Nothobranchius furzeri: one gene and its partners. The protein of the gene in region 3 binds, or shares a complex with, the protein of the main gene of each other region. Links are inferred from orthologs where the notes say so. Each region holds a gene or a part of one and is shown on either strand. Other genes may lie near its edges. The genes, in order: nup205, nup188, nup153, nup107, nup160, cetn3 and ranbp2.

Region 1 (3,500 bases), on a different chromosome or scaffold from region 3:
GGGTTATGAGGTCAAGAAGCCCGTTTGTTCCACAAACCTCCAGGATCCTGGTACGGGTTTCACACGACTGATCGGCGTTGGGTTTGAGCTTTAAAGGGTCACATCTGGATTTCTGCCTTCAACAGGCGTGTTGGGATGTCCACGCAGCTGCCTACACGCCATCCTGAGTCTGCTGCAGAGAGGCACTGAGAAGAGATCAGGGCCTACCCTCACACAGGAAGCTCCTCACCTGGCGGAGCTCTGCTACCAGGTATTAACAACAACATGAGCCTGTAGCCTTGGATCTTTTCGGTTATCTGACACCTTTTACTCATCTCAGGTGATCTACCAGCTGTGTGCCTGTCCAGACACATCTGGACCCACCATGCGCTATCTGAGGACCAGTCAGGACTTCCTGTTCTCTCATTTGCAGCACCTGCCCTTCATCCTGTCAGGTGAACCCTGCTGAATGATCTCGGACTCGTGGCCCAGAAAAGTGTGAATCTGTGTGTTTGTTCTGTTTGGCCTCCAGGTAATCCGATCGCTGCCCTCTCCCAGATGTCGTGGCTCATGAAAACGGCTGCCATCGAGCTGAGAGTGACCTCACTGAACCGCCAGCGTTCACACACACAACGTCTTGTCAGCCTTCTTCTGGATGACCAGCCACACACCCAGCACACAGGTGGGAAGCGTGCTTTTCCTGGTGTTCACCTGTTCAGATGAGCTTAAATTAGGCAGAATGTTTATGAAAAAGATTTAAAAATATTCTCGGTTCACATCTAAAGAGATCTGCTTCTCTCTAGCTGACGGGGAATCCGGCATGGAAGAAGAAACCCGATCAGTCAGCGCTTTTCTGCATTTTGACTCCGCCTCCAAAGGTTTGCCCTGCCTTACTCATCAGTTGTGATGGTGGTTGGTTAGCAGACTTGTATTTGTTCTCCTTAAACGCGTCTGGCTTGTGTGCCTCAGTGCGCAGGAAGCTGCTGAGTGTTCTGGACGCTATCGACTTCAGTCAGGACCTGCCGGAGCTGCTGCAGTTGGACTTTTTTGAGCGTACTCAAATAGAGCAGGTGATCTCCAACTGTGAGCACGTTAATGAGCAGGGCCACACTGTGTGCAACGTCAAGGTGAGTTCACACGCACACAGCGTGAGTCACTGAGGGTTTCAGCGTGTTCGTCCTCGTGAACGGGTCTGTGTGGCGTGCAGTTGCTTCACAGGGTGCTGGTGGCCGAGGTGAATGCGCTACAAGGAATGGCAGCAATAGGACAACGGCCCCTGTTAATGGAAGTAAGGGACATCTCTGGGGCGTTCCTTGTGATTCACACACACTCATTTAAACGCTTGAGCTAACTGTTGTCTTGGCAGGAGGTGAACTCCATCCTGCAGCACGTGGTAGAACGCAACCGCGTTCGCCGGAGTCTGAGCGCAAAGCGACACGCGCTGCAGTCCTGGAGGAGCCTCGTGGAGACGCTGCTGACCGCCTGCCCAGCTGATCTCATACCTGCTGACGACAGGCAGCTCATCATCAGAGACTTGCTGCTGGATCTGCATGATAAGGTGAGGAAATGTTCCGTCGTATTGGGTATTTACACCATTTTCAGTGCAGCGGTGTAGAAAACTGCTCAACACAAATGTTAATGCAGGTTTTATCGGAGGATGCAGCAGGAGAGCTGATGCCCATTGTTGCTGGAGCCGTCTTCACCCTCACAGCTCAGCTCAGCCAGGCGGTTCTCTCCGAGCAGCAGCAGGGCTTGGGATCTGAAACGTCTTCTGGCTTTGCGTCCATTGCTAATTCATCCCTTCATTTAATCCTCCGCAAGCTGCTAGACTTCATTCTGTGCACCGGTTGGTGAATCCTTAAAACTCCTTTGGCTGAAAGAATCTTTATTTCCTGTTTTGTTGATCAAAACATTAAAAAGCTTTAACACTGGCAGGAGGAGGATACCAGCGTCTGCGCGCTCACCTGTATGGCTCTCTGCTGTATTACCTGCAAATGGCTCAAAAGCCTGAGGAGCCAGACACTCTGCAGAAAGGTGCAGCTGAACACACTTGCTCTTTGGTGAGGCTGTGTCTGGATAGGGTTCATCATCTCAGAACGTCTCTGTCTGTGCAGCTAGTAAAGCCATGTGGGAGCGTCTCACTGCCCCTGAAGATGGCTTCTCCAAGCTGCAGAGGGAGAATCTGGCAATAATCGAAAGCTATGGCAAGTCCCTCATGGAGGTTGTGTGTAGGGATGCCTGTGACGGCCACGAGATAAGCAGGGTAATTAGTGAGACCACTCTTTACCTTCTCTCTTGAGCCCATGGTTGACTTCCTGTTGTGTTGGTGTCAGATGCTGGCTTTGGCGGTTCTGGACCGTATCCTGTCAATAGACCGCCAGAATCAGTGGCTGGTGTACGTGTGCAACAGCGGCTACCTGCGTTCTCTGGTGGAGAGCGTGAGACAGGACGACGCCGCCCTACAGAGCCTGCTGACCCCCCAGCCACCTCTCCTCAAACCACTCTACATCTACGAGAGCAAGATGGTGAGGAAATGATTGTGGCTGCCAGCTCTGAACGGTGTTGAACTCTTCTGCGTGTCTCCAGGCTCTCCTCACCCGTGTGGCTAAAAGTGGTGAAGGAGCGGTGGAGCTGCTGCGCTGTGGCCTGGTGGCTCAGCTGATCGAGTGTCAGGTGTTTGACATGGTGCCCGAGAGCGATTCCCTCAGGTGTGAGACTTGCCTCTTCCCATTAGACCGTTCTTGTTTATTTCTGTTGAACTGACATGTTCAGCGCTGATTATCTTTACGTTTGTTTAAATGTGGCCTCAGGATGACGAGGGATCCATCTGGCTTCGTACCGTCCCCTTTAGACCGCTACCGGCAGATTCTTTTGCCGACCTTGAGGCTCTTTCAGGTGATCCTGACGTCTACATCCATAAATCACCAGCAGGGGGCAGCGCAGGTGAATATTTTCTACCAGACATAAAAACATGTACCTGCTTCTAGCTCTGAGGTGTAAGAAAGTGGAGTGTTGTGTTGGTTCGGGAACATAAAGGTTCTCCAGTGGCTGATCGTCCACGCGGACACCGTCCAGTCCCTGCTGCGCTGTCAGGATCTCACCATGGGAGCTCTGCAGGAACTCTCTCTGCTTACTGGCATCATCAGTAAAACTGCACTGCCAGGTATTCAGCAGTAACTTACCTCTGTGTGTGCAAACTCTCCGTCTGTGACTTATGGAAGGGACTTCGTGTTCATCCAGGTGTCCTGGAGACGGGTGGAGAGCTCAACAGTGCTGCTCTCATGGAGTTCCAGGGTCACATTAACAGATTCCAGGTGAGACCACCTTAAATGTTCTCTGCAGGAACCTTCCAGGGTCCTAAATCAGCCTCATGGTGTGCAGCTGGTAACAGATGTGCCTCTTGCAGCGTTTGTGTCTGGCGCTGCTGAGTCGCCTGGCAGGAGGGGAACGGGAGAGGTTGTTGAAGCAGGCGGAGATTTCTGCACCTGCAGATTCAGCCGAACACAGAGAGGAGATGGAGG
Region 2 (4,015 bases), on a different chromosome or scaffold from region 3:
CTTACAATAATAAATACATTCATCCAATTTTAACACATAAATACAAAGTCAGTGAGGTGACCTTACCCGATCCGGTCAACCAGCACGTCCATGCTCTTGTCCACCAGGTGTCTGTTAGTCTGACGCAACCCAAAGCCTTGCTCTTTGAACATTTTGGTGAATTTTACAAGGTCGGGTGGGCTCATCTCAAAGTATGCATAATACAGGAAGATGATCTCCAACAGCAGAGACTGTTCCCTCAGACACTGCAGGAACCACCGTGAGACTTGTCTCTCCGTCTTGCAAACGAGAAGAAGAGTGTAAGGAAGCAGACGGGGCTACAGTACGCTGCTGTAAAAATAAACCCAGTGTTTACCATGAGGTTGCCATGGGTTTCCCATGTTGGTGCTTCAGCCTTGAAGAGGTTCTCAAACTGTGACTGATAGCTGTTCACCAGGTCCTTCTCCAACTTGTTGACACAGTTACTGTACTCGGCCTTGACAAAAAAAAAACAAGGATTATTTACACAAAAAAACATCACATCAGGAAGAAATGCATTTAAAAAAAGAAATATGTCTCACCCGATAGGGGTGTCGCTCATCCTGGAAGTATGTCAGCAGCAGCAGGACACATCTGAGCAGACACATGCGCTCCTCATAGTAATAATCAGCGATCTGTAAAAAAATTAACAACACTAGTAAAAACAGAAATGATTGGAAAATGGCACAGAAGTGACGTAATGCTAGTTTGGGTGCATACCTTTAGGAGAAGAGCCTGACTCTTCCGTTCCTCGTTGAGAACAACCTGTCACAGAAACTACTGTTAAATCTCTTCAGACCTATGATTTAGTACCAGTGGATTTTTGTTTTTCTAGTAAGTTATAGAACAAAAAAAGTTGAAAGCAAACACCTTTAAAGAATCACGAGTTCCTCTGTAGTCCTCCTGCAGATAGCACTGTAAAAGCTGCACACTCTGCTGCTCATCAAGATTCTAAAACATTATTACAACAATCCCTTATGAACCAGCAGTCATGAAAACGTAAGAATCCACCCTCTGTGACATAAAAAGATCTAAATGCTTACCAGCAGTTTACTAATCCTCAGACCAAAGTCTTTCAGGGGCTGTGCAACATCTTTGTTTTCCTTAACTTTCGCAGCGGAGGATGAACTACGGGAGGTGAAGCTAATAGTTACTCATTTATTCATGTATCTGATGTGAAAATACCTTGATGTAATTATACCTGGGTGGCTTGTAGTAACTGAGTCCCTGATGCAGTCTGTCCCAGTGCTTGTCAAGCTCTCCCTCTATTTGAGCCTGCACCAAAAATACAAATGTGTGTGTGTGTGTGTGTGTGTGTGTGTGTGTGTGTGTGTGTGTGTGTGTGTGTGTGTGTGTGTTTATATAGAAGTTAGAATAGCATGAGTTAAACCAGGAAATTACTTATGGATAAATTGTCTAAAATTTTGGATGGTCAAGTTCAGCATACGCTCTCTTTGAGTGAGGAGGACATACCGATTCTCTCAGAGCAGACTTCCCCAGCAAAATGGTCCATAACTCTCTACAGCTCCTAAGAGGAGAAGAGAGGTGAAAGTCAGCAAATCAATAACCTTTAATAAATGAGATATGATGCAGATCCACTACAAGGAAAATACTACAATATGCAAATTTGACTTGACAGGCTGCATTTGTGAGTGACCTCAGATGCATTTAACTGATAAAACATAAATGTGTCCTGGGCAAAACTGTAGACCTGCCCGGACTCCTTATGCCTCAATTAGATGTGAAGTTTGTCAATCAGGTTATACATATCTTTGTTTGTCAAACGCATGTTGCACATGCACCCACCCAATGCATTTAAAACACAATAAGAGAGATTTAGTTTGTGTTTAAAGAAAACTGAAATTCAAACCCAAATGATCATCAAGGTCAGATTGTAGAGAATGCTGAGCTAATGCACTGTACTGAATCACCAAGAACAATACAACTAAATATGAATGGAACCACTACACACACTTCAAACATCCTCACTGACTGCCTTAAATACAAAGGTTGATACAGAATTAAAATGCTTTATTGTTTTTCCTTAAAACCTTGAACTAAATTCTCTTAAATCGTGTTTCTGTACCAGCTTTGATATAAAACAACTTTGTCAATCTGCCTCTTTGAAATCCCATAAGTTTTTTCTCAACACCGGTCTGACAGATTCAGCAGTTTTTAAATGTCCTCTAATGTTCCTCAATAAGCCTTTTATTTATGGTAAAACTGTTAAATAATACAGTTTATTTACTACGATTGGTTTAAGGTTCTGTTGGGTTCATTTTAGAAAATCTGTCCGTTAAAATAATTCCAACTTAAGACGGTCTTTTCCATCGTGTCTAAATGATGGGTTTAGCTTCAATAGACTAGCCTCTTTTACTACAAGACGTAATAATTTTGACATCAGCACGCGTTTTCTATCTCTGCCAGAAAAATCTCCCTGGCTGACAACAGCTCTGACTGTTGTTGACATGTGAGGTAGCGCCGCGCTACAAAAACCTTTTGAAATGTTTAGCTGCTAGCACATGCTAAGCTATACGAGCATGGTGCTAATTCTTTTTAAAACAGACTGTTAAATGACTCTGTTGCCACAGTTGTGATTTAATAAATGAACACGGGCTGTAGCCAGATTTACTCATTATCAACGTCTCTTAACTATTTATTAACAATAAATGTTAGTTAGTCGCTTATGTTTCTACCTGACACTCATCTCCGATTCCGCCATCTTAGATTCTGCCCTGTGATTGGTTAGTAAAGTGTCTGACGTCTTTACAAACGGAAACTTTCTTCTTCGTGAATTGGACTTGTGCTTAATGATGCTTTACTGCCCTCCTCTGAACAAAACGTTTAATTTCAGTTCCTTGCAGCAGGTTTGTTTTAAATTTTACTTTACTGAGGCACTTTTGCTGTTCATTTTCAATTTTCATTTTTTGTTTGAATTCATATTTAGGTGTTCTGTTTACTTATCACTGAATACATTTTCTTTTATTTTAAAACTGGTTTCACTTATTTCAGATATCTCGTTTTAACATTAAGCAGACTGGATATGTGTTGTATTGTTCCTAGTAGAAATTAAAATTCCAGATATCCACGAGAACATTTCTACTGTCCAGCATGACCGTTTTTTTTAGATATGTGAAATGTAACAAATGACATCACATTTCCCATTCATGTTTATTGGCTTCTACAGCGCTTCCACAATTACAGACTTCCTGTCAAGAATGAACATTGTAGAAAGAAGAAACGGAATTAGGAGTTACATTCCAGATATCTGAAATAGTCGTTCTGAATAGTTGGTGTGGATGTTAATTACTGCTAGGAACAACTATAAATATCTAGAATGGCTGTCTGGCTTGTCAAGGACGCTGCAGCGGCAGCGCTCCTCTATATAAAGCGAAACAGACAGCTGCCGGTTACAGTAATCAATACACTTTATTGTCAAAAATCACCAAAATATTACTGTAGAAATGGGAAAATGATGGCTTCAGCATCCAGTTCTGCCAGAAGACGCTGGCAGCGCTGAGCTGTTTGGAAGAGGAAAACATTAACCACGTGACCGCCGACACGCAGACGGAGCTGTTTGACAGCTGGCTAATCTCCAGGTGCTTACAATTAATTAGAATGCGCATGCGCCTCAGAGTGGAGCTACTTGACAGATCATCTCCAGATGGTTACAATTAATTAGAATGCGCATGCGCCTCAAAGTGCATAAATTCGCAGACGTGACGTCATATACAGTTACTTTACATTAGCAGATCGAGCAGAATAGCACGCAGCTAGACAAGCTTTCAGAAACATGTCGAGCAGTTTTAAAATAGCCCTCGGTACCAGAATTGAAAGTTTAACCAACACGTATATAGTTAAGTTACTCCCACCTGTGGAAATAAATGGTGAAGTTTTGACCATTTGCCAAGATCAAAATGAGGAAATGTATTATGTGAAATGTATTCACAAGAGAGTTTTACATCGGTATAAACAAGAAGCGAACCTGCTTTTGTAT
Region 3 (4,262 bases):
GGCTCCAAAAGTAGGGGAGGACACATCTAGCGGGTTGAAGTGGAGGTGAGAGCGACTAAGAGGAGGTCGGGAGAGCACGTACTCCTGAAAGTTCAGGGATGCGTGACTTGTTGAGGGTTCTGTGCAAATGAAAGGGAAGTTAATATCATGAATGACAGAAGAAACAGCAAAATGTTGTTTCTGAGCAACTTCTAACCTGTGTTACTGGTGCTTGGCTCTGGTGAATCCCGTCCATCAAAAGAAGGAGGTCCTTCTTCATTACCATTCGGAGGAGGAGGAGGAGGAGGAGGTGGCAGCAGGCAGCTCTGGTCTGTCCGTTGTCCTCCCTCTCCTCCTTCGGGAGCATCTCCGTTCTTAAAGTATTTCTGCAGCCAGGAAGGAACGATGCTCTTCACCGTGTCCGTCACTCGACTAATCAGGCCTGACTGCTGCAGATCAAGACACAAGAAATATGGCGTTAGACAAAGAATATACAAGGAATGTAGAAAAACAAAATAATAAGCATGTTTTTGTTACATTTCCAGGTTTTACAGATGTATATGTCCCCTAAAAGAAACAGACATAACCAATCACACAGCAAAAATGAAAATAATTTTTTAATGAAAGAAAAACAAAACAACTTTACTTTGGCGTATAAAAACTTGCTTTTGTTGTTACAAAAATAAATAAACTAAAGAACATTTTTCAGCTTTACAGAAACAGGATTTATTAGTTGGGCGTTGTGTGGTTTCTCATTACCAACCCATGTTGGCAGAACTGAATGCTGCCATTGCCACAATTATGAATGAAGGCATTTGTTTCCTCCTTATGGGTGTTTTTTAATAAGTAAACATCATACTGGGATTACCCACTGTTAGTGTCACATATGTACCATGATGGCGGGCCTAGCTATAAGAGGGATGGGTTGAAAACCTGCTATTCATGAATCATCTAAACGATTCCACTTTGATTAACCCAAAATACTGAGTTTGTTTCATTTCATTTATAAAATCACTATCCCATCTTTTGTTTATTTTTCCCTTTCATCTAAAGAAAACAAGACTATGTTGAACAGAATGTGCTCCAACTAGTCTGCTGCACATCAACAACTGTGGTGACTTGCAGCAAACTGCAAACATGGTTAAATCCAGATTTATTTTTCTTCCAAGTCAAAATTAATAATCTTAATGTTTCTATTAAAAGTGAATTAAAGTTGTACAAAAAGCAACTGGACTTCTTTTAAACTCCCAGAGAGATGTCAGATTTTCTGCAGCTCGTCTCAGGTTGCTGCAATTTGTATTTGACATTTTTGTATTACCCCAAATTTTCCAAACAGTTAAACATTAATGACTTGTGCAGTTGGGTACTTTCAGAAAAACTTTTCTGATCTTCGTGACATGGCACAAATATTAGCAAGAAGCAAGCATGTTGCTAACACAAGAACTGAATGTTTAATTTACTTACCATGTAAATCAAAAAGCCACAGCAAATCTTTAGTTTATTAGCATTTGCAAAACTAGACTTTACTTGTTCTTGTCGTTATTTGTTTAAAATAATGCAACTTCTTCTAATTGTAACACCTCATAATACAACGCTAATAATGTGGTAAACAGCAAGGTTGCGCAATAACCTACAACCATCAGCTTTGTGTCTGCCACTAACCTGCATGTTTAACATCTTATGTACTTGTTTGATTTCAATAAAGGCTGATTTATTGCAAAAACATGAGTGCCAGGCCTGTATAGAATAAGAACATACAAGTTTTAAAGTGAGGTGGAAATGGATGCACATGTTTTGATGTAGCAGAGTTGTTTATGGTCAACTTAGCAAATTTTAAATAATTAACGGACAACGTTTGTCATAAAAACACTGCTGACAAAGTAATTATTTATTAATACACCGACCTTAGTTAGATATCATTTCTGCAACTCTAGAGACTTAAGCATTTTATTATAAACACACTATGTGGAAATTTTAAGAGATGACAAAACAGATCAGAGAAACCGCCGAGTGCCCAGCCACGTCTTGCCTAATGTCTACATTTTAGAGTGCTTTTAAAAACGTCAACTTTGACATCAGGGCGGTAGATTATCCCTCAGGGGGACCATGTGGGTTCCCAATAAACCCAACGCTCCTTGCGCAATTCTGCAGGCTGAGATTTGACTTACACTAGTCATTTATATAATACCTCAGTGGTATTATTGTACAGCTGCATTATAAACGTTCACGTACTTAAATAAATATGTAACGACGGAATAAATGATCGTGTCACTTGAATCTGCGATGTTGAAAAGCACCAAAGACAATGCGTTGTACGCCGATGCTAGTGGGTTAGCTCCAATTAGCAGCTGAAATTCTACTTCCTCGCTTCGTGCTAACTTGGCTAATCACTTTCAACTTACAAAATTATTATCTCAGCTTTTCATGTAGGGATCTGAGCTAAAACAAAAACTAACTAAGTTTTCTGGACGATACACTGTCGTTATTTGACTGTCAAGTCCGTCTAATTTTGCTAACCTTAAGCCAACTTGCTAGTTTGTTAGCATTTCATGGGCATGCTAGCGGCGCGTGGAGGCCACGAGCGCTAACTGAAGGCCATAAAATGTCTCAAACAAAACAATAACAAAACAAACTGAAGAATTGTGGCAATTCAATCACTGTGCTGTGCTCGACTGAGGCTGTTAACACGGAAACTTTCACTTGATTTACCTGTTTACTCTTGGCGTAAGGTTTAGAAGCAATCTGACATCTCCTGCTTCTAATTTTCCCTCCACCCGTGGCCGCCATGGCTCTGTCGTCTGAGTGAGTCTGCCGTTGTTTCGGCGCCGGATAGCTGTCATCCAGCACAGCGGCCGCCGGCAGATGAATTGTGGGTAATGTAGTGAGTGACCATAACAAAAGAGGTCAAGGGCTCTTTATGGAGCCGTTTTTCTGTGCGCAGCATTTATTTATTGGATTATTATTTATTGAGACTGGGGTGAAAACTATTAGCTTATTTAAAAAAAAAAGAATTCAAGATAGTCTTGAAATAAAAAAAATGATTGATGTTGTTTTCATTTATCTGATAATAGCTGGCTACCCCTAAACAATTTTCACAGGGGCGGCCAGATGGGGGGCAGTGAAAATTTGGGGTGGCACACCAAATTGGTCCCCGTGGCAATAATAATTTCAAAATTGACAAACACAAACATTTCAGAATAAATCCAGTTATTACTGGCCTTGTTTCATATTATTTGACGGTTTTAAAAGTTTAATTTACGCATTGCTGTCATAACAAAATTATTGGGATTTATGCCTTTTTATTAAAATGAGGAGGTTCTGTGGCACAAGCATATTTTTAAATACAGATTTATTGAATACGGTATTTATTGTTACTTATTAACAATCGATCAAAATAAACGTACTGACATCTATTTATGTCTTGATCAAAAAAGATTAATGTATGATTTGTGTGAACATAAATGTGTTTTAAGGGAGTGTGTGTGTGGGGCAGAGGGCTTCCACAGGTCACGAGGCAGGGATGGCCAACTATTTTTTAAAGATGGCAATGCCCTCCCTATTTCATCGCAGACCTAAAAGAGTAGGTCAACAAGGGCTACATTCCATTTCTGCAGATGCACTTACTGGTTGTAAGTGGAACGGAGTACGGTGAAACAGATCTACAAAAAACAGTTTTTACTTTCAACATTCTGAGCCGTTTGTTGAATATTTACACAAAATAATCCAGACACCACCAGTGTACATGTGTGTGTAATGCGGAAGAAGATTAGGGCACTGAAAGAAAAAAAAATTTAAATCAGCTGTAAAACTTATGACTTTATCAGTGGCCCCAATCCTCCTCCGTAGTATGAAGCTTCATTGCCTTGAATTTTAGCTTTTACACTCAAACCTGAACCGGAGTCAACCAGACAAATGTTTTTATTAGCATTCTGGATTTTTAAAATCACTGATGCAACTTTAAATATGCATTCAGTATAATAATATCCCTGCTGTTTCATGTTACATCCATTCTTCTTCTCAGAATGAATGAATATTTATTATTAGCGTTGCTCATTGTCTCTTTTCTCCATGCTTGATGACAAATCTGCTCTTGGAAGGAACCTTCCTCCATTTTGTGGGCTGCAAACTTCCCAGTGAATCCGTTTGAGCTACGGAACAAATAAAGGTACAGTTACAGGAAATATTAGGACTTCAAATGAGTGAAGATGGTCTTTTTTATTATGGAAGTGACGTCTACGATCACCTGGGACTAAAGCTGATGAGTCAGTGGCGTCATGGTCATC
Region 4 (4,072 bases), on a different chromosome or scaffold from region 3:
CTAAATGCACCACTAATGGAACTAATAAATCCTGATAAAGGCCCTCAGAGGGTGTGTTTAAGCTCCTCCTGACTTACCTTGTCCTTGCAGATGTTCTGATAATCCTCCACAAGCTCAAACACAGCAGAGGAAGAATGTTTCAGAAAGGAAGTAAGGAACTCCGGAAACAGACTGGCGGCCGCTGAAGAGATGAGAGTCCAGCATCAGGAGCAGCAGAGTAACAAGACGAAGCCTTGGGGGTGTTTGTTTTACTCACCTGCGTCTCCTGGGTCATCCTCCTTCAGCAGCGCTGAGCTGAGGTTGGCACCGTCATCACTGAAGCAGCTGGTGTTCCCTAACCCAGAAGCCGGGGAGGTGTAAAAGCTGGTGGTCCAGTCGCTGTCGTCCAAGTTCTACACACACACACACACACACACACACACACACACACACACACACACACACACACAAATTCACTATAATGAGAACAGAGTATGCTCTAAATGTAAGCTCAAGTTTCTCACCAGATTGCCCAAAGTGCTTCTGGGAGTGTACTGATATCGAGGGGTCCGAGCTCCTGACGCCAGAATGGAGGAAACATCTGGAACTCTGGGAGTTACTGTGACAAAAGAGACAGAGTTTCAATGTGGTGCAGTTTGAAGACCAACCATCAGGAGGAAATCCGTCTTACCAGCCTGTCTGAAAAGCGAAGCGGGGGTGGTCAGAGTACGAGCTGGCGTTGCCATGGGAACAACTGGGCTACCGGTGTTAGGTGATGGGACTGAGACAAAAGTCAAGAGAACAACACTGATGGCCCCAACATTATAATCTAAATAAGAACCATTAATGTGCTGGTCCAAACTCAAGAATTTCATCACTTGTAGCTAATTAGAAATACATACGAGGTGTAAAGCAACCAAACGAAAGCTCTGAAAAACTTTCAGGAATCTGTGAAGAACTACTGATCCAGATTACAAGAAAATCTGGCTTCATAATAACAACAAAAGACTTAATCAGGAATTTTACACTAATTTGTACATTAGAAAGACATCATTTAAAGAACAAGTCACCCCCTACAAGAAACTTACTCCACTCCCACATCATGTTTGAAAAATGCAACAAATGCTGTTGCTTGGCAGACCGAGAGGGCAGAGCCGCTAACAAATACACACACACACAGGCTCACAATGGCATTATGACATCATAATATACCAGATGACATCATAGCATACCTCTTAGCCAATAGCGGTGGCAGATTTAAATTCAAATACAGTGCAGAATTTTTCCCTGACAACCGCACAACACTGAAAGTTTTAGGCAGAATATTTGAATTTTAACCAAGATGCACTGAACTGCCAAATTATTGACTACACGTGTCTGTAGCATGATTAGACACTCCTATATATAGTTTATCAGCAAAAAAATGTGATTCGGGGTGACTTGCTCTTTAAGCATCAACTTGATTCTATCAATAAATAGCCTCTAAACAGCAATTACAGGTGATTCCTGTTTATCATAAAAGCGAAGGAACGCTGCATCATGTAACCATATTTATTACAAATCTTTGACAGATTTCACGACAACAAACACATTTTTAGGAGTCAGTTTTGATTGCTTGTACACATTATACATGAGAACAGCCCCTTGTCTTCATGTCTGACTGTTTTATCTTATTTTGATCCTGTATGTTTTTATCTTATGTTTTTCTTTGGTGTAAAGCTAACTGTCCGTTGCCGCTACCTCTTGGCCAGATGGTCGTCGTAAATGAGAATGAGTTCTCAATCGACTCATCTGGGTAAATAAAGGTTAAATAAATACAATAAAAAGGAGGATACAGGCCACCCTGCTCCTCCTGCGGGCAGCATCGGTCACATAGTCATCTCGAACCACCGGAGACTGCAGCTCACTCTCACCCCTTCAAGACAAGCCAACACATTAAAACACATTAGCATCACCACGTTCCCACACAACACCTTTTTAACGCAAACATTTAAAACACATGAACAAAAAATGGATTCGTCTGTTTTAATCCAGCGTTTCCTAATCCTCCTTAAGGATGATTAACAGACTCCTGCAAAACCTGACAAGAAGGAAAGTATATGGTGATGAAGAGGCCTTGTCAGAATAAACATCAGAAACACTTAAAGATCATTCCTAGGTTTTCTGTTCCAGAATTGTATTCGTTTATTCGGTGTTTTGTCTGAAGATTTGATGTTTTCTTTACTTTAAGAGTCTCCACGGGGACACCCTTCGGGTAAAATAAACCAAGCCGCACTAAAGTATTATTCAACAACTTTACCACTAAAGCATACGAAAGGCATTTTTAATAATATCTTATTAAAGGTTTGTTTGATGAAATGCGTACAATAAATAATTGTAGCCACCTAATTAATCGTATCCTTAATTACATCAACGGTTACATGGTTTCTTCCACTTCGGCAAACACTGAAATATTGTTTATATTTTTCAATTTTGCACAGCTTAATTCACTTAAATGACAATAACCTGTCACTCGAAACGTCAACGACTAACCATGTCAACAAAAATTAGCCGGTTAGCATCAACATTCATAATGAACGGAAGACCTAGCAGCGCAAACTAATTTAGCTCCCGCTAAAGTTACCTACAAATGACTAAACGAATGGCTAATCAAAAAAAACAGACAGCGGTGGAAAAGCTTTCTACATTTTTACATAATTTAAATATCGTCTTTTACCATTCCATGGTACAGAGGAATCAATTCCCGCTTCAGGAGGTTTAGCTGCAAACCATGCTGTAAAAAAGTCTTCTTCTGTTTTAGTTTCCTCAGCAGTCAATTCCCATTTACAGTCTCTGCTGCCCCCAGAGGTCAGACTCTAGACTGCACTCTCGATTGTGTGTTGGAATCATAGACTGTACATACTCATAAAAGTAGCTGATGGTTTACTTATAGAACAGGAAAATAACACGTTATAACGTTAAAGATGCTGTTCTAACAATGAACTTACCTGGTTATAAATAAATGTGTAACACTGGAAGAAACATGTGATTGGACAGGTTTAAAAAAACATTATTTAAAGTTTTGAGGTATTTGCTGACAGCAAATTATATTATATTATATTATTGTAATATTCTCAGGTTACTTTCTTTCTTTCTTTTTCTTTCTTTCAAGCTTATATTATTCTTCAGGCTGTTGACTTTGAAGAGTTGCTGTGTGAATGTTTAAAATAAAAAATTAGTAACTAAGGAATAACTGTGGAGTTGCTCTTTCCAATGTGTGGTGGGTGGGTGGGTTTTGGGTGAGAGGCATGCAGGCAGGGGGGGGGGGCACATGGGCAGTCTCGCCATGTGCACTAAATTACCTAGAACCGGCCCTGGAGGTGTTCCAAAACAGAAAATGATTGTGTCATCAGCGTGAAAGTACATATTAGCATCCAACGCATTATGTCCTATGGCATTAAATACATAATGAACAAGGGGGGTCCCAAAACTGAACCCTGTGGCACTCCCTATTGAAAGTCATTGCAGTTATTCCATGTAAAAAAAAACTGGGAAGCTGCTTAAACCTGCATAAACATATATCTACTAGTTAGAACAACAGCAGCATTTGAATGAAACAAAAATAAAGGCTTCTTTTCCTGTCTGGTTTCTGGGCTAATTTTATTTTTCATAGTGGAGTGAGTCATCTTGGTGATATTTAATCTCTGCTCTTTGCGTCCTTCCGGTCCGCTTAACGGCGTTAGTTACGTAGGAAGCAGGAACACAGAAGGGCTCACCGCGGTGCTCTGGAGAACAGCGTTAAAACCCCACTTGTTACAGCCCCGGTACCGGTTCTGGAACCCCCGGCACCGGCAGGACAGGCTTTCAGGCCCGCTAGCTCCCGGGAGGAAGAGGGAAAGAGAGGGAAGATGGAGACCCCCTCCCAGGTAAAGTTTCCCCACTGCTGCGTGGCAGAATCACACAGACTCACGGAAAACGGATCGAATCAGCTACATTTATGCTGAATCACATGAAATAACAAGCTAACTATGGTTAAACCGACTCTAACTGCAGATTAGGATTTTAAGACGTAATAATTTAGTCAAGTTTTACCAGTTTTTATTAGAAATAACAG
Region 5 (4,232 bases), on a different chromosome or scaffold from region 3:
GATCCCAACTGTTGGAGCGCTCACACCTGCAGAAAAAAAAAAACACAGATATGAAGTCACCTCGAAGCTGAACTAACCAGCTGCCTGGTCAAACAGCCATTGTGACTAATAATGATGTGAAACTGTTTCATACAACAACTAATGTTGGTAAGCTCAGAAAGGACACAGAATTTATAAATATAAAACTAGTGCAAAGTCAGAAAAGGGTAGAATGCCTTCTCCGGGTCAGGGATGAGGTCCTGCCCCAAGTGGAGGGGTTTAAGTATCTCGGGGTCTTGTTCACGGGTGAGGGAAAACTGGAGCGTGTCTGCAGTGATGCGGGCGTTGTACCGGGCTGTCGTGGTGAAGAGAGAGCTGAGCCAGAAGGCGAAGCTCTCGATTTACCGGTCCATCTACGTTCCTACCCTCACCCAGTGTTGGGAGTAACGCCGTTTAAGTATAACGGCATTACTAATGGTGTTCTTTTTTAGGTAACAGAATAATCTAATTAATTACTTTTCCCACTGTTGCAACGCCGTTACCGTTACTGGGGATGGAAGGTTGTGCGTTACTATGTTCTTGTCGAACGTTGAGCAGCAGCGTGAGGCTTTCTGACCGCCACACTTCAGCTGCAGCCAGGAAGAGAGGTGTCGGTAACGCGCTTACAAACACGATGATGATTAGCCGGGTGGGCGGAGACCCTCAGTGTTCTCACTGTCTCAGTTGCTGCCTGCTGTAGACCCAACTGAGCAGTGATGGGAATAACGCCGTTTAAAATAACCACGTTAATAAAAAGATATATATATTTCTTTCTGTAACGAGCAAACTAATTAATTACCGTCTTAACAAAACGATCGTTTCTGTTACTGATAAGGAAATGCGTGCGTTAAGCAGCGCGGCAGCGAATCTGCGGGTCTGCAGCCGTGTCCTTCTTAGCGTGACAGCGGGACGTCCCGAAGGTCCGCTCACCTGTTCACCGCTCCGACGTCCTGATCTTCTACCTTCCTAGATCATCCAGCTGTAACCTGTTTCTGATCATGTCTTTAGTCCCGCTGTAACACTGATGCATCAGTCTCAGACGGCATGGAGCTCAGGTGTTACTAGAACTACCTGTGTGTGTTTACCACCCAGCTTCAGCTCTTCTGTGGTTGGGTCTGACCCAAGTTAGTAAATGTAAGTCCTCCATCAGGCTTGTGCCTCTTCTAGTGTCATTTTAAAGGATTTTATTTATTTATTTAACCGTTACTAGATTAGCAGCAACAGAAATGCTGCTAAAAACACACAATTATGTGAAGCTGGAAAAATTAAAATGCTGTGCAAAATTACATTTATTTCTGTAATTTAACTAGACTGAGAGACCATTTAAAGGCTCGGGAACCTTTACAGGTGTTTCTATTTGCAATTTTAAATTTTAGCTGATTGGGGTCTTGTTAAAAATCACACAGTGACCTTTTAATAGTCTAGATAAGTGTAATGTTCCTGTTAGTAGTTCCTCCTGTTAAGTGCTTATTTATTTAAATCGTTCAGGTTTATAAAAAACATTTAGACATTCATTTTATTATGTTCCAATCATTAGTCATTTATATTTCACTATTGTAGTAACTCTTGCACGCTTTAATGAAAAAGTAACTAAGTAGTTATTTTTCTTGGTAATTAGTTACTTTTATAATCTTGTAACTCAGTAACTGAGTTACTTTGACAAAGTAATCAGTAACTATAACTAATTACTTTTTTAAAGTAACGTTCCCAACACTGCCCTCACCTATGGTCACAAGCTTTGGGTAGTGACCGAATAAAAAAGTACAATAAGTATACTTTTGCAACGAACGTGTTTATTCTCTTGGCTAGATCCATAAATGTAAATCTGCTCATAAGATGCCATATTTCCCTTATTCTCTTAAAAATGTATAACTATTTATAAACAAAATTTCTCACTCGTCTAACAAAAAGTCTCAAAACGATTGATGCTTGTGGATTTTTGCACGTATTTGTAGAACTAACAGAGATGGGAATTGTGGCATCAAGTCATCTCCATGTCGTGTTTTTGTTCTGCTCTGCAACAAAATCAGGTGATCTCAGATGAACCTGGCTCAATCCACATCTCTGACCGTTAATCCCTCTGGCTGAATGTTCACTTACAGGTATTCACCTGTGTCGTATACGTCATGTTCTCCTGGTGTAGACTTGCACTTCGCTAAATAAAGTCCTTGACACTTCTGCAGGATTAGGGTTGAGCTTCCACATCCTCGTGATTTTATCTTGAGGCGCTCTATTAAAGATCGTCTTCTTTCTTTCTGCGTGAAGAGGACTTACTGACTCCATAAAGAAGACACCGTAATCCAGCCTAGCTGCCTCAGGTTGGGTTACACCGCAGCTTTGATCTGCGGTGGGCTGTTATGCACCTACATACCCCTCAGAATGATGGCAGTTGCGCCCCTGTTCAGTATGAGTAACAGGTGAGCAACCTTTGAGTTGACCATACAACTGTTTCACTAGAGCTCACCTGTTCGGTGCAGCTGCCCTGAACATTTCACATCACAGAGACATGTGAGCACGCGCAGAGCGAGAGGACAGCGTAGCTAGCCGCGGCTAGATCAGCGCGGGATCCAGTTAACGTGAATGGAACATTAAAAGTAATGCCTAACTGGACTTCATTAATCAGAACTCACACTCACCTGGACTCACTGTGACTTCACGGAACCGGCGCTCTGTTTCCCGCTCAAACCCGCAAAACTCCACGAAGCTTCTCTCCATTACAGCCGCCATCTTCTCCGTGGGGCCACGTGACACTTGAAAGCTGCGCACGCAGCATCTTAGAAACCCAGTGAAATAAACGCCCCACTGTAACCATAGATATGTCTGTGGACGCAACGTAGCAGTAGCGGGCCGCCATCTTGGATGGGTTCCCAATCACCCGCAGAGCATTTATTTCGACTGAAGGTGTTAACTTCAAAACTCATTTTACGGATTTTTTTTAACAAAGTCAGATACATGGTATGGCATGATAAGAAAACATAAATGAATTTTTTTCACATTTTAATAAAAAAACAAGTTTGTTAATTTGAAGGTCTGTCTCTCTCTCTCACACACACACGCTGAGGCTGAAGGGAAAACGAAACCCTGATTTTCTATTTTACTCTATTTTATTCATTTGTTTGAGTGCTGAAGGTTACGATAATAGCCTAGTTCCTAGTTCTCATTTCTCCAGGTGAATGTGCCGCCATACCAAGTCAAATTACCCACTGTGGAATTAATGAAGTCTATTCTATTCTATATTTGACTTTGGCACTTTCCACGTCTTCTGGAGATCTGTGGAGTCTCACATAAATATCAGGACCACATGCTCCTCCAGCTTCTCCACCCGAGAACCTGCTGCTGCCACTTTGACCACTAGGTGGCAGCAGATGCTTCACTGGAAAAGACTGCACCGATTACTGAATTTAATGGACAGATGCATTTGTGTTGCGAATGGCGGTGTGGCTCAGAGATGAAGCAAGGCGCTCGCTCGGCAGCCGATTCAAATAGAAGCAGACTTTATTGTGTCAGCTCTACTGTACATGTGTCATCTTACAGCAGCACAGTGACTCGTACAAAAAGATAACTGGAATGTTTGTTCAGTAATACTGATGTGTACCATATAAGGAAAGCAGTCTGTTACATCATCACCTTCAGAGGTATAAAGTACCAGTTCACCTGAACAGGTGAGACTACAAGACGATCCATCTCCTATCTGAGGAGTCCGTGCACAGCTCCATGCGCATCACGCTGCGCTCTTGCTTGGCAGCTCAGTGCTGTTGTGTCTCGTCTTGCGTGACGTGCCGTCGTCCCGCGGCCGTGCCTTCTGTAGACTGGACATGGCGGCAGTGCGCTCGATGTCGATTAGCGCATAGGGTTCTGTGCGCCGCGTGGGTGTGGTGGGGGGCAGCGGGGAGGTGGGGGTGCGGGGTGTGTGAGGGTTGCTGCCATCAGAGGCACCTTTGTTTCCACCACTGCTGTCCATCTCCACCTCGATGTAGTTGAGCGTTTTAGTCGGCTCCATGTGGCCCGGCAGAGGCGGTCGGCGGAATTCAAAATTAAAAATGGTGGGGCAATCCGCTCGACGGCGGGCTGTGTCAGGCCGGTGCGCGCTGAGTGGCGCGGTCACGTTCTCTGTGTTGACATAGTTGTGAGAAGACTCGAGGGCAGCAGACAGAGGGTGGGAGTAGGGGTGATGCAGCAAGCTGTAGGGGGCGTGGTTAAAGCCGTTGAGCGAT
Region 6 (4,055 bases), on a different chromosome or scaffold from region 3:
TAGTTACAGTTTGCTTCAACTATGAGACAGAATGTAAAAAATCCTGGAAGTCACACTGTAAAATTTTCTAAGAAATTATTTGTATCATGGTGCAGAAGATACATATTTAGTGCCTACATATGTGCAATAATTCTGGTCCTCACATACCTGTTACTTCTTCTTTAAGAAGCTTATCTATCCTCCACTTGCTGACTGAATTAGTGGCAACTGGTATCTGTATAAAAGACACCTGTCTACACCTTCAGTCAGTCAGACTCCACCATGGCCAAGACCAGAGAGTTGACAAACGACATCAGTGTCAGGATTGTACACCTGCACAAGATTGGCTTGAGTAAATCCACAACAGGTAAGCAACTTGGTGGGAAGAGATCAACTGTTGCAGCAATTATTAGAAACTGGAATAAATACAAAATCACTGACAGTATTCCTCGACCTGTGGCTCTGTGTAAGATCTCACCTTGTGGGGTACAAATGATCTTGAGAATGGTGAGGAAACAGTCCAGAAGTACATATGGGGAATTAGTGAATGACCTGAAGAGAGCTGGCACCACAGTGACAAAGGTTACTACTGGTAACATACTACATTGTTATAGATTAAAATCCTGTGGCACTCAAAAAGTCCTGGCGATGTTAGAACATCCACAACTTAGTTTAGAGAAAGAAGATTTTTCCTATGAAAGAGCACTCTTTGGTGGGCAAAAACTAAAAGCAGCACTTTTTGGCAACTCTGAACTCTGGCTGCTTAGAATTTCTGAAAGTTAAGATTTAACTGGGCTTGGAATAATAGTTTTATAAAGCAGCTTGAACGTATGAGACTTTAACAGCTGGTGGAGAGGGTGTCCCCCCACCCCAAAATTTTTTTTAAAACAAAATCAAGATTTGAGGTTCATAAAGACCTTGTGAGTGTTACATTAGCACGTGAAGTCATTAGAATAATTCTCTATGTCCAAATTCACCAGATATTGAAAATTTTAGGAGAATTTAGGTACCTTACATAATATACAGGCCCTTTCTTCTTCTTTATGCAATGGTGATGTGTCAGAATATTTTTGATTCATCATTGGTTTGTATGTGTATATATATATATATATATATATATATACCGGGCATATGTATATCCATCCATATGTATAATATAGACTGTGGTATCAGTTATGAACACGAGGTGGCAATAGTGCTCTAATTGACTGCATAGAGCAATGACAACGACCGGGTAAGCGGCCTTGAAGAAGTAACATTAACCAACCAGATCTCGCCTAACTGCTGCCTGGCAACCAGCGACCAATAGGATTCCTGGTGTGTGAGCGCGGATAAACGGATTTGTTGTGTTTGCTGGAAGCTGTAGCCACATAGCATTCAGAATAACATTTGGTTTAAAGGTTTTATAAATTCACCTGGAATGAGTTTATCTCTAAGGTAAGGAGCTAACCTTTTGTCGCGAGATGTGGCTGTTACAGTTCAGTTGAAACCGGTGGTACGTCGAGATTTGTTCCCCAGTTGAAAAACGTACGCCTTCGCTTGTCTCGTCAAGATGATTTCGTCCTGCCAAATTGTACAATTATAGGCGTAGATGTTATTTTTTTTATCAGGATAAGACATTTATGAGGGAACGAGTCCCTTGTGTATAACTGTAAATTGAGTAATATTATCTAATTGTATCGTAATCTGAATTAGATTAGAATTAGTGATATTCACTAAACATGATGAATTTCACAGCTACAGCAATGACCAAATGATTAAGATATATATTTTTAGGGATTTTCTTGAAATAATATTGCTAAACACAACAGTTTACAAAGAAGCTGGCGGAGAAACGGTGGGGGACCCGAATGTACTAGTTTTTTGTTTTGTTTTGTTTTTTTCCATCTGTCAATAAACAATTTCCCCCAGACTTTTGGAGGTCCTCCCAATGTTTTTGGTAAATGTGGGTTGTTTTTGTTGTTGTTGTTGTTGTTCAGCAGAGGCTTTGGAGAATGAGGTTTACCTTATTGTTGACACATGACCTTAAACCTTAACCAAGTTTGACCTACAAAGCTTTAGATGTTCTTCTGGGTTATTTTGCTTTTGATTTTTTTTAGAACAAGGCATAAGGTAGATTTTTTTAAGATCCTTTAGCCTACCCTGTGTCATCAGAGAGACCCCAATAAACATTACAGAAAATGGTTTAGTTCTCATTGGATAACAAAGTGTATGGGTTAATGCATTAATAAGTCATGGCTGTGATACAGGTAGTGTCTGAGGTGAGACTGCATGTGTGTTTGTTTCAGCAGAACTGATCTTGCAGCTGAGACAACCAAGCGCAAGAAGAGGAGGGAGCTCACCGAGGACCAAAAGCATGAAATTAAAGAAGCTTTTGACTTATTTGACACGGATAAAGATAAGGAGATTGACTATCACGAGCTGAAGGTAAGAAAATGGGCCATAGTGGTGGTTGTTATGGTTACCTTATGGTTTTTGTGCCTGAAATAATGCCGTATATAAGTTATGCTTTTATAACCTCATCATTCCTATTTTTCTTTAACTGCTGTGAATGTGGAGCACCAGGTATTTATGTATTATTATGTAAGTAAAAGTAACTAAATACCATTTAATCACCTTTTGGAGAAACGCTAATGGGTTTTCCATGTCTGAAGGCACCCTGCTGAAATAAAGCTCCAGGGGAATTGGAGCTAACGTTCTACAGCAATAACATTTATTTGTTGTTTTAGTGCTAGTTACTAATTGTTCTAATCCTGAATTCAAACCAAAACAACATTTAAACATCTTGTCAGGTGGCGATGCGCGCTCTCGGTTTTGAAGTGAAGAAAGTGGATGTTCTGAAGATTCTGAAGGATTACGACAGAGAGGGAAGTGGGAAAATCACCTTTGAGGATTTCAGCGAAGTGGGTAAGGTGGTCATCGGCTCTGGTATTACCTCATAGCTTGAGGTGCTTCATTAGCTACTAAACCTTTTCCCTACCCCTCAACAGTTACGGATCGCATCTTGGAGCGAGATCCCAAAGAGGAGATCATGAAGGCTTTCAAGCTGTTTGACGATGACGAGTCAGGAAAGATCAGCCTGAGGAACCTGAGACGGGTTGCTCGAGAACTCGGGGAGAACATCAGCGACGAGGAGCTACGCAGCATGATCGACGAGTTTGACACAGACGGGGATGGAGAAAGTAAGACCGGAGTCTGAGATGAGAGCAACTCTGTCTCTCTTTTGTTGTGATTTTGTGTCTGATTAGAGCCGCAGATGCAACAATACCAACATCATCACTGCATCTTCTGGCACACACAGGCATTTTAATTATTTATATGATTGTTCCTAACATTGTTGCTTTCACTGTTAGACCAGATCCTGTCACGTCAGCAGGCATCTGCTGCCCTGGAACAAAATAGATTTACTAACGACAATGTGTAAACATGTTCAGTTAAAGTAACAAAAATCCACTGCTGCTTCGCTTTTTGTTTGTTTTCTTTCATTCTTGCGTCTAAGCTTTCCAGGTAAATCCAGTAGATCTGACCAGGTGTTTTTCCCTTCTTTTCAGTAAATCAGGAGGAGTTCCTCTCCATCATGACCAGAGACCCATGAAGAGGTTTCCCCATCTGTAAGTTGGACTCTTTGCCCATATTGGGAGGAGATATGGGCCTTGTTCTCTTGCTTCTGAGGTGGACTGGACTTTATCAGGAGCCTGGAGCTTTGTTCTGACTTGGTTTGATAAATAAAAGCACCAGATCGTGTCTGGACCAACATCTGCTCACACTGCTCAGTTCCTCTCGTAGACATGAAGTGTCAATATGATGCTGACCTGCTGGCATTTCTTTAAGAAGCGAGCTTTTATTCATGGAGTGTGTTTGTGTAGAAGACGAGTCTGAAGCTCCGTTAGGAACGTGTTAATGTGATGTAGTAAAACACAGAAGATCAGATCTGTTTCACTCGTATCCTATTTGACCTGTTGCAGTTATTAGTTAAATGTGGCATATTTATTTTTAAATTGTTTTGCCAACCCTACTCATTTGTCATTTCCCAAAGAGCCAGAGTCGTCAGACCCGGCACCATCATACTTTAATAA
Region 7 (3,500 bases), on a different chromosome or scaffold from region 3:
TCAACGGAGGTTTCATTCATTGACCAATGAGAGGACAGGATGTTCCCTACATCTCCGAGCAAACATGGAGAAGTTGATACTTCCTGTGACGGATTTCCCAGAACTGTACAATATTTCTACCAAAGAAAACAGAGATATTCACAAAAAGGCCGCGGCATGGGAAACTGTTGGTTTTTACGTAGTAAAATCAGAAGTAAGATTTCAAATAACTCTAGCAGCACCTTGTGAAACATCACATCTACCGCTTTTTTAACTCTGAACCGCCGGTGTTCTGACTATCCGTGCTTCCTCGTCAAATTTTCCTACCAACGCGCATTTCAACAGCTGATTCATTCTGTCCAGGTTTGCTGAAAATCGGTAGCTACTGTTAATTTATTTTATGAAAAAAGGTGGATTGTGTAAGAAGCAGTTTAGTCATTTTGTAAAAATTAAACCCCTTAGTTGCTAAAAACATTTGAATATCCTCAGAACAATGACGATTTACCAACTACTTTCACCCATGTCGAGAAAGTGATTCATAAAAATGGAGATTTGTAAGACGTTAGCTCTTACTGTTCTATTTCTCTACCTAATCCTGTATTAGACAAATTAATCCACATAGAACAAATATGCTTTCTCCCCAATATTTATAGTTATTTGTTTGAATGTACAATTTTGGAGATTATTATACAACTATGATAAATTTATTATATGTATAATATAAAACTTTTGGATATTAATTTGGGACTCTTTCAAAATGACTGTAAACAATGGGAGAAATTTCTTGTTTACAGTATAATAACGATATTTTAGAAGCCATTTGCAAGCTGTCAGGTAAACTTACAGCAAGCAGTAATTTAATTAAACAACTTAAAGAAATACTTACTGTGACCTTCGACGAGTTGAAAGTAACTAGCTAAGTGACGAGATTAAACGTAAACTTCCACAGATAACACGTCTTGACTTGTAAACAGCCTGTGATGCAATAATTGGCCTGTGCATTCCCCCAAAGTAGCACATTTCGACAGGGGGCACGGATAGTCGGAACACCGGCTTAAATAACCTTAATTCCCTCCAACCTGACACAGCCAATCAAAACAACGGAAGATTCGATTTCACCATGGAACAGAACGCGTCGTCGGCTTTGCCGTTGGCTGCGGGTTGCCTCCCGTGTCAGGTAATAAAAGCGACAGCGATGAATTTCGCTGATCGCGGTCGTTTGTCGCCTCCCGTGTTTCAAGCCCATAAATGTTAAACTCATCAGGCTAAAAGCTGAGGCTCATCACAACGGAGACCCTCACCTGACACATGAAATCTGGTATGACCCTGTGGAAGATGGAGTCCCGTAGCCCAAAGCCTTTCTCTCCGACGCAAAGAACCCTAAAGTTTTCTGCCGTCTTCGGAACAATATGAGAGAAAAGCTCTATAGTGATGGTGCCCAGCGGCACATTGTCAGCAGACACTTTGAGGAACACCTGAGGATTGGTCTTTCTGGAGTGCTCTTGGACTCTGGACATCTGTTGCCAGGTAATCGAAGCATCCTCACCGATTTGGCCCATCCGGTTCTGACATTCGCAGAAAGTTTTACGGAAGGACTCGGCTATTTCTGGGGTTTTGAACTTAGCTGCCAGCTGCTCTACGACACCATCACCGTCTAGAATGTGGAGATAGCAACAAGTAAGCAGTCAGGAAGATCAGAGAGTACCACAGGGTTTTTTATGATCCACAAGTCTAAAGGAGCTTAGTTTTTTTACACTAAATAATATCAGCCTGAATCCTGTTCAGGATGTGTACCTGAGTAGTCGGTAGCGGTCCAGACCAGCGCGTTAGCTGAGGTGTTCATGGGTTTGAGCTCCATCGTCTGTGAGATGGTGTGGTTGGCACAAACCCTCAGCACCTGCTCTCTTCTCATCAGGATTCGATAAAAGTGTTTGGTTGGGTGGAAGAGGATCTTGACGTCGCCGATGCCACGCTCCTTCCACTGACCGAGGTCCCGGTCCCATCGGAAAAGCTTGGTGCGCTCTTTAAACAGGATTTCCTCATCTTCCTCTCCAGACTTAGTCTCCACCTGAGACACAAACAAACCTGATTTTCAAACGTTGCCTCTAAATCATCGAATTGTCTTAAAAAGGGGAAAACTATTCTGATACCTCAGGCAGGGATACTATAGGCTCAAAGTGAATGTCCACATTTTTAGGAGCCTCTTCTTCATCACTTCCATCCTCATCAACATTGCTTTTAGCCTCGGAGGACATATTGGACCCAAACACCATCGCTCCAGCATTTGCCCACGAGAAACCAGAATCTATGCAAACAAACAAACAAACATTTGTTCCATTAATTCTGAAATATTTCAATTTTAAAAAGACGCCACTTAAAGTCAATAAAACCAACCTTTTGTTCCAAACGCAAACCCTTCAGTATTCTTGGCCAAGTCGGCAAAAGAAAACCCTCCAAGGGAGTTGAAACCAAAAGAGTCTGCATCAACAGGGGCAACGTTATTAGTGACAGAAACAAACTGATGTGTTGTTTTAATGCAGCAGAGAAATGTATCTGACAGCAACATGGTCCCTGTTAAAATGTGAAAACAAACTAAGTCATCAGAAGCTGAAGAAGACACATTGTGCATAATTAAAATGTAAGTCCCAGTTTTAGAAAGGTCACTATGTTCTAAGTATAATGGTCACTTAGAATCGGATCTGTTTTTAAACAGCTTCAACATAAAATCTCAGATCCAAGAATAAAATCATCCTCCAACAGTCGTTTGGTTTACTAAACGTCTCAGACTCCGATAAACAGAGGTGTTAACTAGGGATGCTCCGATCACGTGCTTTTCAGGAAATCAGAGTAAGGTGAGAAAAATCTGATTTAAACATATAAAACAAAAACCATAACTTTTTTTAAATTTATCAAAAAGATTTTCATGCACAATAATATTGGCTTAGTTTTAAATTCGACAAGTTCCTCTACATCAGTATTCTTTGTTTCATTTACAACACCGTAAGTCTCACAATTTAAGGTAGTCCGGGAATCCACGCACCATAACACGTAGCAGTTAGCTAACACAGAGCATAGTTGTCACCTGAAGAGAAAGAAAATGTCTGTACTTTGGATGCATTTTTAACTGAACTTCCCTGTTGCTGAAAACAGACGCACAAAAGCGGGGTTGTGTGGCTATGTCTGCCTGCATTTGCTGATTGTGCAGAATGTTGCAGCACGATCTGCAAACGATTCAGGGCCAACTAAGAGCGAGTTGGCACAGTCGAGGCGAGAGTGTATCACAGACTCCAAGTGCGACCTTTTCAAAATCGGCTTCAGGCCAGCCAAACAACAAAGTTGAAAACAAAAACACGACCTCACAACTGCATTGATCATCGTAAACCTCACATCTGATTTCATCCCAAGGCTGGTAACACACCTCTTGAGGTCCAAACTTGGAAGTGTCGGTACCCCACAGGTGCAAGACTGGTTTTTGGGGACAAAACGAATGGCCTCAGTCTTCGACTCATTAAGTTTAAGGA

Evidence for each region.
Region 1: nup153 (region 3) and nup205 share a complex: the UniProt entries of both Homo sapiens proteins name them as parts of the nuclear pore complex. The link is inferred for Nothobranchius furzeri from reciprocal best matches to the Homo sapiens genes NUP153 and NUP205.
Region 2: nup153 (region 3) and nup188 share a complex: the UniProt entries of both Homo sapiens proteins name them as parts of the nuclear pore complex. The link is inferred for Nothobranchius furzeri from reciprocal best matches to the Homo sapiens genes NUP153 and NUP188.
Region 4: nup153 (region 3) and nup107 share a complex: the UniProt entries of both Homo sapiens proteins name them as parts of the nuclear pore complex. The link is inferred for Nothobranchius furzeri from reciprocal best matches to the Homo sapiens genes NUP153 and NUP107.
Region 5: nup153 (region 3) and nup160 share a complex: the UniProt entries of both Homo sapiens proteins name them as parts of the nuclear pore complex. The link is inferred for Nothobranchius furzeri from reciprocal best matches to the Homo sapiens genes NUP153 and NUP160.
Region 6: nup153 (region 3) and cetn3 share a complex: the UniProt entries of both Homo sapiens proteins name them as parts of the nuclear pore complex. The link is inferred for Nothobranchius furzeri from reciprocal best matches to the Homo sapiens genes NUP153 and CETN3.
Region 7: nup153 (region 3) and ranbp2 share a complex: the UniProt entries of both Homo sapiens proteins name them as parts of the nuclear pore complex. The link is inferred for Nothobranchius furzeri from reciprocal best matches to the Homo sapiens genes NUP153 and RANBP2.

The regions. Positions count from the first base shown.
Region 1 is NC_091744.1:88,204,316-88,207,815, forward strand, and holds part of nup205 (nuclear pore complex protein Nup205), read left to right. Parts: coding exon 1-50; intron 51-125; coding exon 126-250; intron 251-319; coding exon 320-434; intron 435-511; coding exon 512-661; intron 662-782; coding exon 783-857; intron 858-948; coding exon 949-1,106; intron 1,107-1,186; coding exon 1,187-1,267; intron 1,268-1,345; coding exon 1,346-1,537; intron 1,538-1,623; coding exon 1,624-1,825; intron 1,826-1,914; coding exon 1,915-2,013; intron 2,014-2,093; coding exon 2,094-2,242; intron 2,243-2,312; coding exon 2,313-2,504; intron 2,505-2,565; coding exon 2,566-2,687; intron 2,688-2,789; coding exon 2,790-2,922; intron 2,923-3,015; coding exon 3,016-3,142; intron 3,143-3,219; coding exon 3,220-3,293; intron 3,294-3,385; coding exon 3,386-3,500. UniProt on the Homo sapiens protein: Plays a role in the nuclear pore complex (NPC) assembly and/or maintenance. May anchor NUP62 and other nucleoporins, but not NUP153 and TPR, to the NPC.
Region 2 is NC_091746.1:61,212,051-61,216,065, forward strand, and holds the start of nup188 (nucleoporin NUP188), read right to left. Parts: upstream 2,801-4,015; 5' UTR 2,741-2,800; coding exon 2,715-2,740; intron 1,547-2,714; coding exon 1,492-1,546; intron 1,294-1,491; coding exon 1,220-1,293; intron 1,147-1,219; coding exon 1,062-1,146; intron 970-1,061; coding exon 889-969; intron 784-888; coding exon 739-783; intron 654-738; coding exon 561-653; intron 476-560; coding exon 356-475; intron 279-355; coding exon 67-278; intron 1-66. UniProt on the Homo sapiens protein: Component of the nuclear pore complex (NPC), a complex required for the trafficking across the nuclear envelope. Required for proper protein transport into the nucleus.
Region 3 is NC_091759.1:104,986-109,247, forward strand, and holds the start of nup153 (nuclear pore complex protein Nup153), read right to left. Parts: upstream 2,801-4,262; 5' UTR 2,767-2,800; coding exon 2,689-2,766; intron 429-2,688; coding exon 197-428; intron 120-196; coding exon 1-119. Other genes in the region: ptdss1b (phosphatidylserine synthase 1), read right to left, coding at 4,030-4,127, 4,223-4,262. UniProt on the Homo sapiens protein: Component of the nuclear pore complex (NPC), a complex required for the trafficking across the nuclear envelope. Functions as a scaffolding element in the nuclear phase of the NPC essential for normal nucleocytoplasmic transport of proteins and mRNAs.
Region 4 is NC_091741.1:38,096,653-38,100,724, forward strand, and holds the start of nup107 (nuclear pore complex protein Nup107), read right to left. Parts: upstream 2,801-4,072; 5' UTR 2,704-2,800; coding exon 2,696-2,703; intron 1,895-2,695; coding exon 1,815-1,894; intron 761-1,814; coding exon 671-760; intron 599-670; coding exon 504-598; intron 393-503; coding exon 257-392; intron 182-256; coding exon 78-181; intron 1-77. UniProt on the Homo sapiens protein: Plays a role in the nuclear pore complex (NPC) assembly and/or maintenance. Required for the assembly of peripheral proteins into the NPC. May anchor NUP62 to the NPC. Involved in nephrogenesis.
Region 5 is NC_091744.1:79,862,794-79,867,025, forward strand, and holds the start of nup160 (nuclear pore complex protein Nup160), read right to left. Parts: upstream 2,801-4,232; 5' UTR 2,746-2,800; coding exon 2,655-2,745; intron 27-2,654; coding exon 1-26. Other genes in the region: fibroblast growth factor receptor substrate 2, read right to left, coding at 3,740-4,232. UniProt on the Homo sapiens protein: Functions as a component of the nuclear pore complex (NPC). Involved in poly(A)+ RNA transport.
Region 6 is NC_091746.1:37,904,235-37,908,289, forward strand, and holds the start of cetn3 (centrin-3), read left to right. Parts: upstream 1-1,255; 5' UTR 1,256-1,399; coding exon 1,400-1,416; intron 1,417-2,267; coding exon 2,268-2,406; intron 2,407-2,771; coding exon 2,772-2,886; intron 2,887-2,969; coding exon 2,970-3,161; intron 3,162-3,530; coding exon 3,531-3,574; 3' UTR 3,575-4,055. UniProt on the Homo sapiens protein: Plays a fundamental role in microtubule-organizing center structure and function. As a component of the TREX-2 complex, involved in the export of mRNAs to the cytoplasm through the nuclear pores.
Region 7 is NC_091747.1:23,239,305-23,242,804, reverse strand, and holds part of ranbp2 (E3 SUMO-protein ligase RanBP2), read right to left. Parts: intron 2,458-3,500; coding exon 2,374-2,457; intron 2,285-2,373; coding exon 2,130-2,284; intron 2,048-2,129; coding exon 1,774-2,047; intron 1,634-1,773; coding exon 1,281-1,633; intron 1-1,280. UniProt on the Homo sapiens protein: E3 SUMO-protein ligase which facilitates SUMO1 and SUMO2 conjugation by UBE2I. Involved in transport factor (Ran-GTP, karyopherin)-mediated protein import via the F-G repeat-containing domain which acts as a docking site for substrates.